Linked DNA regions of Mus musculus. The protein of the gene in region 3 interacts with the protein of the main gene of each other region in a biochemical or structural test. Links are inferred from orthologs where the notes say so. Each region holds a gene or a part of one and is shown on either strand. Other genes may lie near its edges.

Region 1 (5,706 bases), on a different chromosome or scaffold from region 3:
TTATTATTATTATTATTTAATTTGGTGCCATAATCCATCACGGAGCCACACAGGAGCCCCAGCCCTTACAGCCACCTCAGAAGCAGTAAGAATTGTTCCTTCAACCCTCCTAAAGTCACCTGTGCTGTAAGCTCATTGCTAATATTATTGTCCCCGTGTTGAGTATGGAAGAACTGAGCCTTTGGGGCTTTATTTCTTTTTTGTCTCTTTTATTAGTAACTTTGTGGACCAAATGTTACTGGCTCACAGCTGGGGCAAAGAACAAATTTGCTGGGCCCACTGACCCTGGTTAAAGCTAAGCTCTTAAAAGATATCCCCCAACCCAACACCCTCCCAGAGACCAAGGTAGACCAGAGCATTCTCATCCCCATCCCCACCCCCCACCCCCCTCCCCCACCCCCCACCCCCGCAATGCTGGGGAGAGCATCCCACATCTAGTACACAGAACTCAACCGATTACCCTCTCGGCCGGCTTTCCTGGCTCTAGCCAACTAGGGCAGACTGGAAAATGAGGGTGTGGTCATCTTGTTACCAGATGAAGGGAGTACCCCCGACAAGGGCTTCAGGGGTGCAAGGGACCATCTAGAGGAAAGCGCCGGCACTTCCAGGGGTCAGGAGCACAGAGAAGTGAGAACCCTGGTGGGTGTGGCAGCTAGGAGGGGAGACGTTGTAAGCAGAAGCCAGGAAGGAGTTGGGGGCGGGAGTCAGGACGCAGCACGGAGCTATCTCTGGGACGGAAACGGAGCTAGAATAGAAAGTTAATTCTAAAGCGAAAGTTATCTCTTGTTTCCCTTGCACACCACATCCATACCGTACCACGGGGCTCCAGTTTCCCAACTTCTTGTCAGAGCTCAGAGTGGAGCGCCGGGCCTGCGTGGACCGCAGCCTCTTTTTCGGGTTCCCTGAGCACCCCAACTCCCGACATGCATGCACACCGATACAGGCTCTCGCCCTCGCCCGGAGTCTTGAGTGGAACGACACTAACAGCACTTCTGCCATCCCGCCTGTGCTCCTAGACTCCCGAGTTAACATCCCTGCCCACCCCTCGCTTCTATTAGAGATTTCCTTCCCTCCCCATTCACTTCTGCACCCTCCATTTCTCCCCCACGCCCCCACTCTCCAATTCATAACCAGTATGAATTTCCCTTCTCTTCCTCCCTCTTTCTCCTCCCAAAGTCTACATTTTGGGAGTCAAAGCTGTGGCACCCTTCAAAATATTAGCCCCACCCCCCGGGATTCCGCAGCAGCGGTACTTTTGAAAGGGAGAACAGAGAGGAGGCGCGCAAGGGACCTTCAGAGCCAGGGAGCCGGGCCGCAGGGCGCCCCGAAGCGACAGTTCTCTTCGCCAGCGCCCGGGCTGCGCGGGCCCACGCGACATCTGTCGCCCGCGCTCCCGGCTCACACCCCGCTCACCCCCGCAGCTCCTCGGGCGCTGCCACCCCCCACGCTCCGGCTGCCGCCTCTCCCTGCGGCGCCGCGCCAGCTTCCTAAGGTGTCTGCGCGCCCGTCGGGCAGGGCTGGGATCAGCCCAGAGCATCTCAGGGTCTCTGGCTACCTTACCTGTGATCTTCACATTCCGACCCATTCTCGGAAGTCAGCCTAGTTCCCACCCACCCCACCCCGTTTTATGAAGCCTCTGCACTAGAAATCTAGAAAGGCGACCCCGACCGACACTTCTTGCTCCCCCAAACCGCCTAGCCCGGTACCTGGCACACAGCGGGTGCTCACAGGTCACCCTACCAAGGACCCACCTATAGCCTCCCGATATCAAACATTAGGCACCCAGCACCCAGGGACGGTCCGGAGCACACAGCAGGCGCCCACACCTCTCGCCGTCGCTGGGGAAGGTGATAGGAGGCCAAGCTGTAAACCGCGACACCTCGTGGTAAAAGGAGCAACAAAGTTACCCAGGAGATGGGACCTTGATGTGCGCCTGCCTTGGAGAGAGGACCACGACCTACCCCTGAGAAACTTCCACGGGAGCGGGGGTGGGAGGAGTTGGGGGGTCATAGAGAATGGGGATCACCACAAACTGCAGACCCTTGAGGAGACGGGAGTTGGCAGTGGAGATATGGAGACCTGGTCAAGTTGGAATACCAGGCGGTTTGAAAAGGGCCGGGGACTCGAGAACCTGTGGTGCATAATTAGGGGAGACTCTTAGCTCGGACTGGTGCAGTTCTACTGCGTGTGTTTACTGGGGCTGGCAGCGATTGTGGTGGCTTACGTCCTTCTAAAACCACTATGCTGCAGAGGAAGGAGGAGGAGAGAGAAGAGGGAGAAAGGAGAGAGGGGACAGTGAGGAGAGAGAGAAGGGGGGGAGAGAGAGAGAGGTGGAGAAGGAAGGGGGGACACGGGGTAGTGGGAGAGGAGAGAGAAAGCAGACTGGAGAAAGGGAAAACAGGAGAAAGTGGAAAGGCAGAGGAGAGCTACACAAGGGGAAGAATAACGTGAGCCAGGGGATTGGAGAAAGAAGAGAGTGAAAACACTGAAGAGAGATGAGAGTGAGGGAGAAGAGAGAGGAGTGGGGAGGGGGGGGAGAGTGAAGACAGAACAGAGACAGGGGAGCGGGAGGAGAGGGGGAGGAGGTAAGGAAAAAGAGGAGAGAGAGAGGGAAAGGAAAGGGAGAGGAAGGAGAAGGGGAGGAGGGAAGGAAAAAGAGGAGAGAGAGAGGGAAAGGAAAGGGAGAGGAAGGAGAGAGGGGGAGAGAGTGGAGATGGAGAGTGGAGGGAAAGAAGAGAGGAGAGAGATGAAGGAGGGAAGGAGAGAGGGAGAGAGAGGAAGGAGGGAGGAAGAGAGAGAGGGAGAGAAGAGAGAGGGGGAAGGAGAAGGGAGGAAGAGAAGAGAGAAAGGAGAGAGGAACAGAGGGAGGAGGAGAGAGAATGAGGGAAGAGAGGGAGGGAGAGGGAGAGAGAGAGAGAGAGAGAGAGAGAGAGAGAGAGAGAGTAGGGGGGATGAGGCGGAGCAGATACTCGGGGTCTGGATAAAGAGGGACAGAGGGCAAGCGAAGAGTAGGAGACCGGGTCCGCTGTTCCTCGCCGAGGAGCCCTGGCTCCCGCTGTCGCTGTCGCTCTCCCGCCCGCTTGCCCGCGTACCTGTTGCTCGGTCCGGGCTGGGTCTCGGCTCCGGTCCCCCCCACCAAGAAGGCCCCGCGCGCGCCGCCTACGCGCTCCGCCTGCCGAGCAGCCAGGCCGCCAGCGCCGCCACCTGCGCGGCCGCGCACAGCCAGGGCCAGCGGGCGCGGAGCGCGGGCAGCAGCGCGGGCAGCGGGTCCCGGGGCCGCGCGCGACGCCGCATGGCGCGTCGGTGCAGCTCGTCGCCCAGCGCCTGCAGCCGCAGCGCGGTCACCTGCGCCGCCGCCCAGCGCAGCCCGGGGCGAGCGTCGCCGCAACCGCACACGGCCGGGGGCCCGCGGCCGCGATGCCGGGGACACGGGCACATGGCGTGCGGAGGAGCCTCCCTGGACCCCAAGTTTCGCCCTTCACCGCGCGTTTGTTGTGCTGACGGCGCTATTATTAATTAAAGTGTCACATGGTGGAGGGGGCGGGGAGGGCGCGGGGAGGGGGTTACATCATCCGGCCCGGGGGGTGGGGAGTGTGTGCAGGAGAAAAAGCCGAGAGGTAACTTTTAACCCTCGAGACGCCGGCAGGGCGGGGACAGGCAGGGATGCGGGGCTTCGGGAATGCTGGCCCGGGGTCCGCTGTTTCGCTTCCCGGGCTGCGGGAGGCTCCAGCTCGGAGATAGCCTGGAAAGCCAGCTCGGTGCGCACTGTGAATTGAGCTCCGGGAGAATTCGGCCGTAATGCGAAAAGATCCCCGGGCTGTTGTGTGGCCTGGGTGGTGGGAGGCAGGGTTCAAGCCGACTTGCCCTGTTTCGGGACAGCCTCCGCACCTGTCAGCCTCCGGGTGGGTGCACACATTCCTGACACGCGTTCGCACCCCCTTCTGGTGACCTGACTTAAGCGCACCCCGGGGTGGGAGCCTGAACCCTGAAATGAAGGCGGGGGACCCGGGATGGGTTGGACTCCAACTTGGGCGAGTCGCCTTTGCACTCAAGACATCTCCCCACCCCCCACCCCCCACCCAAGAACGTGGTTCTAGAGAGAAGTTCTTGCAGCCTGCTTACTTTGTAGGCTTTATCTTTTCAAACGGGGTCAGAGTTTGCTGGCGACCCTGTAAGGCTTTGCCTTGGTGCCCAGTGAGGTTACCTAACCCAAAGGAAGACCAATCCAGTTTTGCTCCAGCTCCAGCCTGGGAAGTCCTCTGGGGAGGGTGCCGACCAGTGAGGAGGCTCCTGGGACTCCTTAGGGTGCTAGAGAGACCCGCCCACCATGTCCAAGCCACTGGATTTTGGACAGCTTTGGGATTGGGGCCTGAAGGAGCAGGGAAGTGGTCCATATACAACCTGGTCCATATAGTGGTTTCAGGCCAGCCACAGTTACAGAGAGAATCCTTTATTTAAAAACCCCAAAGAGTCAGGGATGCCTCTGTGGGTAAAGGTGCTTGCAACCGAACCTGATGACTTAATTTCAGTCCTGTGAATCCGTGTGTTCCAAAGACAGAAATCTGATACCCACAGATTGTCCTCTGACCTCCATATGTACTACCCTATGTGTATGCACATAAGATAGATAGATAGATAGATAGATAGATAGATAGATAGATAGATAGATAGATAGATAGATAGGAGATAGACAGACGTATTCAAACAGAAAACAAGTCGAGCAGTGGTTGTACACGCCTTTAATCCCAACACTTGGGAGGCAGAGGCAGGCAGATTTCTGAGTTCGAGGCCAGCCTGGTCTACAGAGTGAGTTCCAGGACAGCCAGGGCTACACAGAAAAACCCTGTCTCAAAAAACCAAAATAAATAACTAAAACCCAAAAGATAAGAAACTATGAACTCACCTTTTTGGAGTTCTGTGATGTTATTGTGACTTTCCTTTTGTTTCAAAAACTCTGCTACGGTGTAACCAGAAGCTCTCCTGCCTCATCCTCCTGACCACCAAATGACAGGAGGACTCTGCAGCTTGACTGACTTTCAGCCACATCAATGGGCTACGGGCTCCCTTGGAAGCTTGGTGAGGTGACTGTCAGAGCTCAGCATAGCCCAGCTGTGTGCTTTTGGTGACCCTCGCCCCCACCCAGTGGGCAGTCACTGTGCCCTTACTACCCACACTACAGAGTACCTTCCATGCCAGCTGCCTGCCAAGGTCCTGGCCTGTGCTCCTACAGAGACTCTTTCGGTGTCCTGTTTTTCAACATGAGGAAGCCAAGGCCCAAGTCCATGAGGCCTCTTGCCCAAGATAGGGGTTAGTACAAAGCAAAGGCTGGCTCTGAACCAGGGCACCCAGTAGCAGGCACAAAACTCTAGCTATGGCTTGACACTGGACTCTGTATTCTGAGACTGATAATACCTCCCTCCCAGGACCGGGGCCCAGATTAAATGAAAGAACCCTGTGCCAAGCGCCTGGCACGCATCGGGCTCAAATAAACCTCCGTCCCCTCTGATTCTGGCCAGAACTCCTTCCCCATCTCCCGGGACTCCCCCTCCCTAATCCCAGCCATCCTTAACAGAGGGGCAGCTGAACCATTGCCCGAGTGTAGTGGTCCAAGATTGAAGATACAGTGTCTATTTAAAAAGCCCTTTGGATTTAAATTGAACAATCCCCCCTCCCTTTTAATCTCCACGCTTTTAACGGCTCACTTCA
Region 2 (6,313 bases), on a different chromosome or scaffold from region 3:
TCCTCTCAGGTCGGGTAACTGGGCACCACATTTTCTCCCATCTCCTGAAAAACAGGTTTCCTTGGCAGTGCCCAGAGGGTGTTTTGTATTGTCACAACTCAGTGTTGACACTAGGTAAATCAGCTGCCCTCTCCATGCCACCCTGCGCCCTGCCCTCTCCCGCCTGCCCGGGACGCATTTGCTGACACTTTTCTCTGAGGCTTGGCTTCAGCCAACCAAGGGTAGGAGAAAGGAAGCAGCCACACATGTCCAGTCCAGACCTGCTGCTGGCTTCCTGGTGGCCACTCCCAACAAAAGCCGGGCATCGTTCGGCACTTCCTTGAAACAGCTTCCGAATTGTTCTAGGCAGAGAGCAAAACAGTGATTTCTCTGGCAGGATTCACTCAGTCAGCCGCAGAGGAAGCAAGGGTCATTAATTGTCCACAAATGTAACCAACTCACTGAAAACAGGATGCTTTCCGGGGGGTGGGGGGGATTCTGTCTGTGGCAGTGTGGCAGGACAGCTTGAAGACTCACTAGTCAATATGGCCTTCCAAATACCCCTGCCCTTCTACTAAGAGAGGTGGGAAAGGAACATAATAAGACAAGATGGCAAACTGTATGTACCCTGTGACTTTTCTTTCAAGGCAGGGTCTCCTGTTTTCTACATTGGCCTCCAACTCAATATGCAGCCAAGAATGAATGACCTTGAACTTTTGCTTCCTTCCGAGTGTTGGCCTCCACCCCTGGCATATGCGGTCCTGGGAGCTGAACCCAGGAATCTGTGTGTGTTATCCCGCCGCTCTACCAACTGAGCTACATCTCCAGTCCACAAGCTCTGGTTTCTTTGCTCTCAGCGAATCCAGCAGTGATTTCATTACTGTATATCAACCACCTTACAGTGACCAGCATGCAGGTAAGCCCTCCATCCAGAGAGAGTTCAGGCTATGATGGGCACCAGGAACCTAAAATTTGATGTTCCTTGTCTCACAGAACATGCAGGCTACGAATACATGAGATTATTTCAGACAGCCAAGGGCATAGGACAGAACAAATAATGGGTGAGATGTCAGGAAGGGTGGACATGGAGGGGTTGTCAGAGAAATGTCAACTGAGCAAAGACATCAGAAGATGAAAGGCCAGGGATGTATCACTCCGATGACCCCTTATAAACCTCCCAGTGCTACAAAAAAGGATCAACTGTGACAGGAGAGTAGCTCCATCACAGAAGGCCAGAGTAGCAAGCTACCTCCTCCCCTTTCAGCTTCTACGTTCTTCATATGCTCTGGAATGTTTGAGCCTGAGGAGGAAGTACTAGAGTTGTCTGGGCTCCTCTGGGAGGTGGACCCCATCCTCTTCCTTCCTTCTGGTGGTGTTGGGCTCTTACCTAGACCCTTTACTGAGCCTTCAGCATCCCATGCCCCAAGTAAGCCAGGCGGCCTGCTTGCTTCTTGGCCCCCTGTTGCTTAAAATACACAAAGCCCAGGGTCCCATCCCCAGATCTGGAAACAAAACAGATCTAGCTAACTTTAAAATGCTAACTAGGGTTCAGCTTAGAAGATAAGTTAAATGAGCCTGTCACCAAGTTGAAAAATGACACACTGCGTTTTCCAGCTCGGGATGAGAGCCAGCATCCTCTGGCAAAGGTGCACATTTTGAGTTAAGAAAGTTAAAAAATAAGCAATAAAGACCCATAACCCCAGGATCTCAGAGGCAGGAGAATTGAGAGTTCAAAGACAGCCTGGGCTATAAAGTGTGAGACCCTGTCTCCGAAATAGAAAAAGAGCAAAGCACAGACAACCTTTAAAACCTAACTCTGGAGGAACAACTGAGAAACAGCAGCTCTGTGACTTTGAAGGGGAGGCGCTGTAGTTAGATATGACCTGGGGGTCTCCAAAGATTGGGGTGTTGACATTTAATCCCCTTGTGAGGTATTTAAAGGGGAAACTCAACCTCACTGTGGGGTTTAGAGGCCGGACCTTTGAGAGGTGGGTAAAATGTACAATGTATGTCTTCTGCCAACAAAAGGGAGTCACCCAAGATGGCCCTCAACCCCACATGAATCACAAGCCAGAATAAATTTTACTTCTTTATAACCCAACCCAATGCACTGTATCTTATTAGCAACAGAAAGCAGACTAAAAGTCAGCACTAGGGAAGCAAACCGAAGGATTGAGAATGCGAGGCTAGCCTCTGCTACATAGTGAGGCCTTACTTAAGAAAACAATGGTAGTATACACAGAGCTGTGAGTTCCATCCCCAGCTACAAATAACCTGGATACAGTAACTATACCTGGAATCCTAGAACTCAGGTGGTGAAGGTAAGAGAATCAGGAGTTTCAAGACCATCCTCAGCTACATAGTGAGCTGGGGGCCAGCCTAGGCTACATGAAACTTTGCCTCAAAACAAAACAAAGAAAGTCTCAAATCCTGGAGTATAGAGGGGAGAAAATTGGCAGGGTGGAGTGAGAGATGTGGGGAGGGGCAAGGCTGGGAGGTCACGAGTGCCACCTGCCCTAGGCAGGACACTAGATCCAAAAGCAGCCAAGGACCCCAGGTGACCCTTAGGTGTATACTTGTAAAGGAGCAACAGTAAACATGCCCCAACCTAGTGGAAATCAAGGTAGCATTGCCGAGCTACTCAGCCACTTCTTGGGAAAGGTCCCTCCCCACCAGGCTAAACCACAACGCAGTTTACAAACTCAACAAACTGAGGTCCAGAATGGTGGAGGAGCCTGTAGAAAGCTACACAGTCAGAACAGAAAGTAGGTCACAGGTAGAGAGGTTGGTGTGGCCTCTAAGAAAGCCCTCCAGGCTTTGAAGGAGCCAGCTCTATGTAGCTGTTGGGACATAAGCCTATCTGAAATGAGGCCTGCTTCCCTGAGGTTAAAATTAAGGTTCACTGACAACTCCCCCATCCCCCAAAGTAGGTAGGAGACCAGCCTTCTTGAGAGCTGCAGCTGGCTCCAAACCCCTGTAACAGTGTTATCACCTGCATCAACGCCAACAACAATAAACAACACTTTGTAGGGGTGGTTCAGTACACTTCAGAACAGCAATTAAGTTTATAAAACAACCTGCATCCGCATCCTGAAGGCCACAAGGTGGAAAAGTGACACAAGTATTGAACCCCCAGTGCTGGTTGTGGCTGGTACACCGGCGACCTTGCCGGCCCCTCGGATGCACTCCCAGTCCCTGCGCCTGGGCGCAGGCAGGTGGCTAGGAGCTTCGGGGAAATGATGGTCTGAACTACCCAGGTCGCCTAAGAAGGCCCTTCTGCTGCCCCTCGAAGACCTATATCCCCGGGTCCCAGAGAGGACAGATGCGAAGCTGGATTCTGTCGGGAACAGGTGTGAATTACCAGGTCGCGGCAGGGACGGTGCGAATCCCAGGATCCCCGAGGGAGGGACAGATGCGAACTCTCCGGTCCTCGCGGAGACAGGTGCCGACGCCATCTTCCGCCTGCGGCCCGGGCTCAGCCTGGCCGCCCTACTGTGGCAGTGCCGCGCCCTGGTCTCAAGCTGCTCCCCCTAAGTTTTCGACAACCAGGGCACAGCGACAACGAAGGCCACTTGCTCAGCGCGCCCTAGAACCAGGACACAAGGGCCACCCCAGTGCATGGACGCACAGCGAGACACGCGGACCAGACTAGCACCTTCTGGGGTGTCAGACGCAGAGGGGACGTTTCAGAGCCGGGGCCACCGAGGGATTTGGGCACGGGTCCCCAACTTTCCAGCAACTTGGGCTAGGGCTGCAAGACGCTTACCTGCCAAGCTGAGCTGGCGTAGCGGCGGGCGAACTGCCCGAACACCCTCTCGGCTGGGACGCCGGTGGCGGAGTCGGGGGCGCTGGCTGGAGGCGGGTTATTGTGAGCGGCGGGCTGGACCCTGATAGGTGGCCGCGCCCTCCCCGTCCCGCCCCTTTAACTCCTCCCTCCGGGGCTCCAAATCCCCGGTCCCAATAAGTAGCTACAGAACCCCTGTTTTAAAGTCGTTAGCTTGCAGACATTCCTCTGTCGCCTGTAGACCTGCTACTGTGTCCCCGCCAGTGCGTCTGCGAGTGTGCTTTCCGCAGACGCCGCCTCTGCCATCGCCGCGGCCAAACCTTAGCAAGGGCTGTCTACTTGGTCCTCATAGTACTCCTAAAGGCTTGGTGCTTCTGTGGCTTCCCTTTGCTCCCGCCTGCTACAAGTTCCGCACTGCACCTCCAAATCTCCCCCTTTCCCCTCTCTCTTCTCTCCCGGTGTATAGGGAGCTCTCCCAGCCCTCCTTTTGGCGAAGACTTAGGGTGAAGGAGAGGATCGGTAGGAGGTGAAATCTAGAATTACAGGTGAAGTGGGAGGAGTTCAGTCTCCAGTGCCCTGGAGCAGGGGCTCCGAGGTGAGTAAAGATGGAGCACTGGCCGAATTACAAAGTAACCACTATCTATACAACAACAAAACTTGTTTATCCCAAGTCAGCTCCTCTCGGGATAGCAGAGGTCAGAATCTGGGGCAGGTGCCTCCTACTGCGTGCTTTGTCAAGTAGTCAGCTGGACTCTTCCCTCTCCTGTCAGGAGAGGGGTGGTGATATTTGGGGTTCCTTAAATCTTCTCCTGACACGGGAAGGCAGCCCCTCCCCCCACATGTTAGAAGGTCCTCGGCAGAATTTAATCTTAGAGGCCTTCCAATCCTGCCACTCAGATCTTTCCAGTTCTGTGGTCCTTCTGTCACCTCCAAGCCCAGAAGCAAATTGAACCCTGATCTTTGGCCATTAGCCATCAGGGATTGTCACAACCTGGAGTTGGGGGCAGGGGACCTTGAAGCCTCTCTGCCAATACATTTTGCAGATGAATTTGCAGAAAATTGAGACTGAGAGAAGAGAGGCAGTGACAAGGGGTCTCACAGTCCAGAAAGACCTGACCGGTCAGCAGATGCGTTCTGTAAACAGTAGACAAGGTGGAGGAAGGAGGCCAGTTTGAGGTCAGATGGGGACTTAGGGGCCCAGGGGAGGGGGTGAGTGAAAATATTTAGCCTGCAAGATCCCCAAGGCAACAGGCTGATCAAATGGGAGGCTAGCACAGTGACTCAATCCCTGAACGGCCTGCCGCTGGGGAGACTAGGAAGTTGGGTAGGTTCCGGGCAATATAGCAAGAATTCATTATTTGGAGGGGTTTGTTTATTTGTTCGTTTGCTTTTTCAAGACAGGGCTTCTCTGTGTAGCCCTGGCTTTTCTGGAACTCACAGAGATGTGCCAGCCCCAGCCTCCCTAGTGCTGGGTTTAAAAGCATGCACCAACCACTACTACCACCAGGCTGAGAATCCATGTCTCAAATTACAAAGAAAAACTGGGTGTGTTGATACCCCTGTCATCTCAGGTTTGGGAAGTTGAAGCCGGGAGGCCAAGGCGTTCAAGGCTACATACACAGTTTTCCAGTGAGTTCCAGGAGAGCCTGGGGTACAAGAGACCCTGTCTAAAATAAATTAAAAGAAAGAGAGACAAATGAAGGGAAATGGGGCAAAATCACTTAAATAAGAGTGCGCCTTCCTGTTAGTGCTCCATAATTGGGTCAGATGCAAGAAGTAATACAAGTGGTGACAATGGGGACCGCCACCTTCTGTCCCCAGGGCTCACATTTGCTCTTCTCTTCCCTTCTTTTGAAACATTTATTCATTCATTCTGTTGGAGAGGGGACTATGTGTGTGAAGGTCAGAAGACAACCCTCAGAGGTCAGTTTTCTCCTTCACCATGTAGATCCCGTGTTCTGTCCCTGAGCCACTAGGCTATGCACCCTGCTCCCTGAGAGGACCATACTCAGGGACTTGCCCCTTTCTTCTCTAGTGGCCTCAATCTACAGGTGCTGCTCACAGCTACCTCTGGATCCTCATAACCCCACTGCCTTCTGTGCCTGAGATCACTTGTGTCTATGATCCAGCTGACACAGACTTCAAGCCAAGTTTTGGCCTCGAGTTGTCTTTGGATCCTTTGTTTAACAAATACTGGTAGAGTCTGGTGCAGTGGCACCGGCAATCCACATTCTACAAACTGAGGCAGGAGGAATGAGAGTTTCAGCCAGCCTGGGGTACATAGTGAAACCCCCTGCCTTAAACTTGAAGAATGGGGGATTGGGGTATAGCTTAGTTGGTGGAGTGCATACCTTCTACTGGACCTGCCAGTCACTAATGGAGCTAGCCAGCCATGCCAGGGATCTCACTGTCCCCGACTCCCCAACACAGAGGTTCAAGCCAGCACTGCCACACAGGTCTCTACATGGGTGCTGGGATTGAATTTAACAATGGCTTTTCAGGCTGAGCTCTCTCCTTTGCACCACGGTTACATTTACATGAAGTCTGAAA
Region 3 (4,193 bases):
AGGTCACAGCACAAACCAACAGGAACTATTTAATCATTTATCTCCCCAGGGAGTTCATTTACAGATTAGCTTTCAAGTCTGGCAACCCTTAGCTCAAGGGAACCCACCTTTACCTCAGTCAACTCTACTCTGGTCATCTGGCCTCTACTGACAAGTGACCTCCTTGCCTTTACAAGAGCTACTGGAGGGAAGAAAGGTGAAGTTTCAAAGAAATGGGAAACTAGAGGCAGGATGGGGTCCCAGGGAAAACCTGGAGGTCTCTTACCCTGTAGTAAAGCAAAGTGCTTGCCCCGCCCTAGGCCCAGCCTATGGACAACTAAATTCTTGACATTCCGGAGTCCATGGTGCATGGCCCCTTCCACCTCACTTCCTTCAATGGATGACTTATTTTCCAGTCTGTCCATTTTCTACATATTCTAAGGAGACAGAATACGTCTCAGAAGCCGCAATATCCCCTATTCCAGAATGCAGTTCACTCTGAAGGGTAACAAACGCCTACCACGACAGCTACTAGTAATGGAACTCTCACCTCTATCTCACCCTGACTGATGAGGTGGCGAGCAGGATTCTGAAGAAAAAGCACTCATTGTGTCAGCCTCTGCTCTCTTTATCTTTGGGTCACAATAGTCTGTTAGAAACTAAGGCTCTAGAAGGTAAACCAGCCTGTCCAAGGTCACATGGCCAGTTAAGTGACAGGGCCAGGACTCACACCCACATACAGTCTGTCACCAAATCTTAATTTCCTATGGAGCCTCACAAACCAGGTTCTTGCTCTGCCAGCAAACAGTGCTTCAGTAAAGAGGCCCCAGGGCCCTGACCAGAAAAACACTGGGCAGAGCAGCTGGAGATCCCCAACCAATCCAGGGCAGCGAGGTGCAAAGTCCTGGGGCTTGATATGGCACAGGAAGGGCTCTACAAACAAGCCAACCATGCAGAAAGTTGCACACTTTGGGGAAAAAGAACTTAGGAGCACAGCACAAACACCATTGGCCCAGACCACCCTCCTCTAAAATCAGACAATACTCAGCCACTCTAGCCAGTGGGGGCTCCTGACTGGCCAAATGGTCTGAGTACCATGCATGCAAGTACACAGCAGCCTGAGGTTCCAGTTCTGCAGTTTCCTGGGTATTATGTTCATCACCCCAGCCAAGGTGACCCATTTCATGAGAGTGAGCAGAACGCGGGGAGAACTTGCTGCTCTCATAGGTTTTAAGCCAAGTAAACACATAGGCTGTTTTTCTTTGCTGAGAAATTGGAACAAAACTATGAAACTGTGGGGCCACAAGGGTAGCCAGGATGAAAGATACAGGTCCCTTAAAAATTGGGTCATCTATATTTCCAAAGTTAACCTCTTGTATTAAAATGAAGCCAGGAAGGTCTCCTGAACAATCGGTATCTTTAACAACCATGCCATATAACAGAAAGAGACCAAAAAGGGCAGTTTTAGGGATGTTCACAGAGAAGAGAGACACAAGCAAGGGGCGGACACACAAGGGGCGTGGTTCTTACCCAGCCGCCGTTCTCCTGGATCCAAGGCTCTAGGTGGTCATTCAGATAGGTGGCCATCCAACTTGCAATCCGACTCACCAATACCTGCATCTCCTTGTCTACGCTTTCCACGCACAGTGCCCCGCCAAAGGAGAAAAAGGCCACGATGCGACCCCAGTTTACTCCATCCCGAAAGAGTTCATTCACTACCTGCTCAAAGCTCTGATACGCGGTCCCTGGGGTTATGTGAAGCTGGGATGTTAGATCACTGAACGCTCTCCGGTACCGCAGTTCAAACTCATCGCCTGCCTCTCTCAGCGCTTGCTTCACTGCTGCCATGGGAATCACCTCCCGCGCATCCAAACTGCTGCTGTGGCCAGTGGCTCCATTCACGGCCGGGCTATCCGCCAGGTGCCAGGATGGGTTGCCATTGATGGCACTGGGGGTCTCCCTCTCTGCTTCAGTTTCTTCTGGGGCCTCAGTCCTATTCTCTTCGACATCACTAAACTGACTCCAGCTGTATCCTTTCTGGGAAAGCTTGTAGGAGAGAAAGTCGACCACCAGCTCCCGGTTGCTCTGAGACATTTTTATAATAGAGATGGGCTCAACCAGTCCATTGTCCAAAACACCTGCTCACTTACTGGGTCTGCTCTGTGTTTAGCGATTCTCTTCCAGGATCCAAAGCCAAGATAAGGTTCTGAAGAGAGAGAGAGAGCTTCAGGAGAAAAATTTAATATGCATGTCATTTACCTTACAATATTCCCATTCCTCCTCCAGGTACCAGAATTGCTTTCTTTGTGGCTCTTATGAAGGTCTGAGTCCGGGTTCTAAGGGACTTCAATGAAGTCAAATTGAAAGGACCAGCCAGCTTTGAATTGTTTCATCCGCCTCTTTTTACTACAACCACCCACCCCCTTTTCTCCGAAATGCCTTTCTCCAAAAGTCACCCCCATTGGCATATCCCCACCACCACCACCTACATTCAAATCTATCTCCGGCGACAGCAAGCAGGTACAACCCCCGGAAGGTCTTTTGTATCATAGGTCGGGGAGGAGGTGGTGGCTGGGTCGCCGGTAACTCAGCAAAAAAAAAAAAAAAAAAAAAAAACCAGCCCCGGCCGGAGGGATCATGCGACCTGGTAGGCAGCTCAGAAGGCGACAGAGGAATTGCGAAGCTTAGGAACCTGCCCCCTCACAACCTGGTTCCTCCATCGACCAGATCGAGGGCGGCCTCTCTCTGCTCCGCAGGCTCCAGCCACCCGGGAGCCCAACCCCCTCGCTCTAGCACGCCCCTTGGCTCTCCGCCTCCTACTGGGAGTCAGGAGAACTCTCCCGGAGGTATGGGTTTAGTGTAATTTCCCCCCACCCCTCCTTTCTTTCTTTCTATTTAAGTACCAGCCCTAGATGAGGCTTCCGAAACCCTAAAGGGACTTCCAAGTGAATCTCAAGGTTTCGCGCAGGGACGCGGACAGGGGGAAGACAGCCTCGGATCTGTGATCTGATTTCGGAAAGACCACTCCCGGGTTTTTCCGAGAGGCGTATGCTGGAGACCCCCCACAAACACCGCTAGTTGTCTTTGAATTCCCCAAAGGCCCTGGACACAGCACTGGGGGACGGCCAGGTCCTCCATTCCGCGCCCGGACACAATGGCCGCCGGCACCCCACGCACAAAGACGGGGTGAGAGAGAGGCACTGAGCCCCGCCACCGGCCAGGAAGAAGGGTCGGGGCTCCCACAGTGGAGACCTCGTTTTTCCTGAGGCCGAGCCCAAGGCGGCCTTCTGGAGCCCCCTGCAGGGCTCGAGGGCCGGAGGCCGCTCCGCGCCGGAGCCCCGGGTGGGTGGGCTGAGGCCTCGCTTACTGCTCGCGCTCCCCTAGGCCGGGTACCCGCCGAGCCACCGCCCCGTTGCTAGGCAACCGCCCTCCCTCAGGGGCGCCCCCTAGACCTCTCTGGAAGGAGGGGTCTCGCCCCCGCGGCCCGCCCCAGCTTAGCCAATCCGCGGGTCGAGTCGGCACGGAAGCGGGACGGCAAAGGCTCCCATTGGGCCCAGCGCCTGTCAGGCACAGGGGAGGCGGCGCTCTCACCTGCGAGCCCCAGAGAGCCGTGGGGGGCCACATCCCCCCTTCATAGGCCCAGTGGCTTCCAGACACTAGGGCGTTTTGCGGCTGGGAAGTATGCCGCGGACTTAAGCCTGCCTACCTGGCTGACTGCTCGTGCTGAATCTCCCGGAGAAGCCGGCCTCAGTTTCCCCTGAAGAGACCGGGGGAACTTGCAAGCGCAGCCACTTCCGGTGCCGCGGCAGCGCGCGCGAGCCCGAGACGCAAAAGGAGTGCGCGCCAGAAAGGGACTGGCATCGAGACATGGGAGAGCAGCGACCCCTGGCGAGCGATTTGAGGAGTCTCAGGCGCGTGGAACGTTTATGGTTCACATTCCTTCAATCTAGTTCCTTCATCCATCTGTCCCTTTGTATACTACAGAAAAAGTGCTTTTTCCTTTCGATGTCGGTGTCCAACATCGAACAGGTTTCTCAACTTGTGTATTTCCCCCCTCACTTTAAAAATAGACAGCAATATTGACCTTTCATTGACTGTGTATCAGGTACTACTTGAAAAGCCTGAAGAATAGAAAGCCCTTAGTTTGGTTTGTTGAAGACACAAGGCAAGGCAATGTCTCTGTTTTTATGAAGACTTATACCTTACGGGTGGAG

The links.
Region 1: the proteins of Bcl2l1 (region 3) and Hrk interact in a biophysical measurement, tested with the Homo sapiens proteins (3 studies listed by BioGRID and IntAct, with this or other methods). The link is inferred for Mus musculus from reciprocal best matches to the Homo sapiens genes BCL2L1 and HRK.
Region 2: the proteins of Bcl2l1 (region 3) and Bik interact in a test that uses a peptide from one of them, tested with the Homo sapiens proteins (3 studies listed by BioGRID and IntAct, with this or other methods). The link is inferred for Mus musculus from reciprocal best matches to the Homo sapiens genes BCL2L1 and BIK.

The regions. Positions count from the first base shown.
Region 1 is NC_000071.6:118,167,515-118,173,220, reverse strand, and holds the start of Hrk (activator of apoptosis harakiri), read right to left. Parts: upstream 3,458-5,706; 5' UTR 3,439-3,457; coding exon 3,160-3,438; 3' UTR 3,093-3,159; intron 1-3,092. UniProt on the Homo sapiens protein: Promotes apoptosis.
Region 2 is NC_000081.6:83,524,369-83,530,681, reverse strand, and holds the start of Bik (bcl-2-interacting killer), read right to left. Parts: upstream 3,821-6,313; 5' UTR 3,746-3,820; intron 3,566-3,745; exon of another isoform or gene 3,435-3,565; coding exon of another isoform or gene 3,341-3,434; intron 342-3,340; exon of another isoform or gene 1-341.
Region 3 is NC_000068.7:152,827,918-152,832,110, forward strand, and holds the start of Bcl2l1 (bcl-2-like protein 1), read right to left. Parts: upstream 2,801-4,193; 5' UTR 2,469-2,800; exon of another isoform or gene 2,270-2,468; intron 2,204-2,269; exon of another isoform or gene 2,186-2,203; 5' UTR 2,074-2,185; coding exon 1,510-2,073; exon of another isoform or gene 530-1,509; intron 1-529. UniProt on the Homo sapiens protein: Potent inhibitor of cell death. Inhibits activation of caspases. Appears to regulate cell death by blocking the voltage-dependent anion channel (VDAC) by binding to it and preventing the release of the caspase activator, CYC1, from the mitochondrial membrane.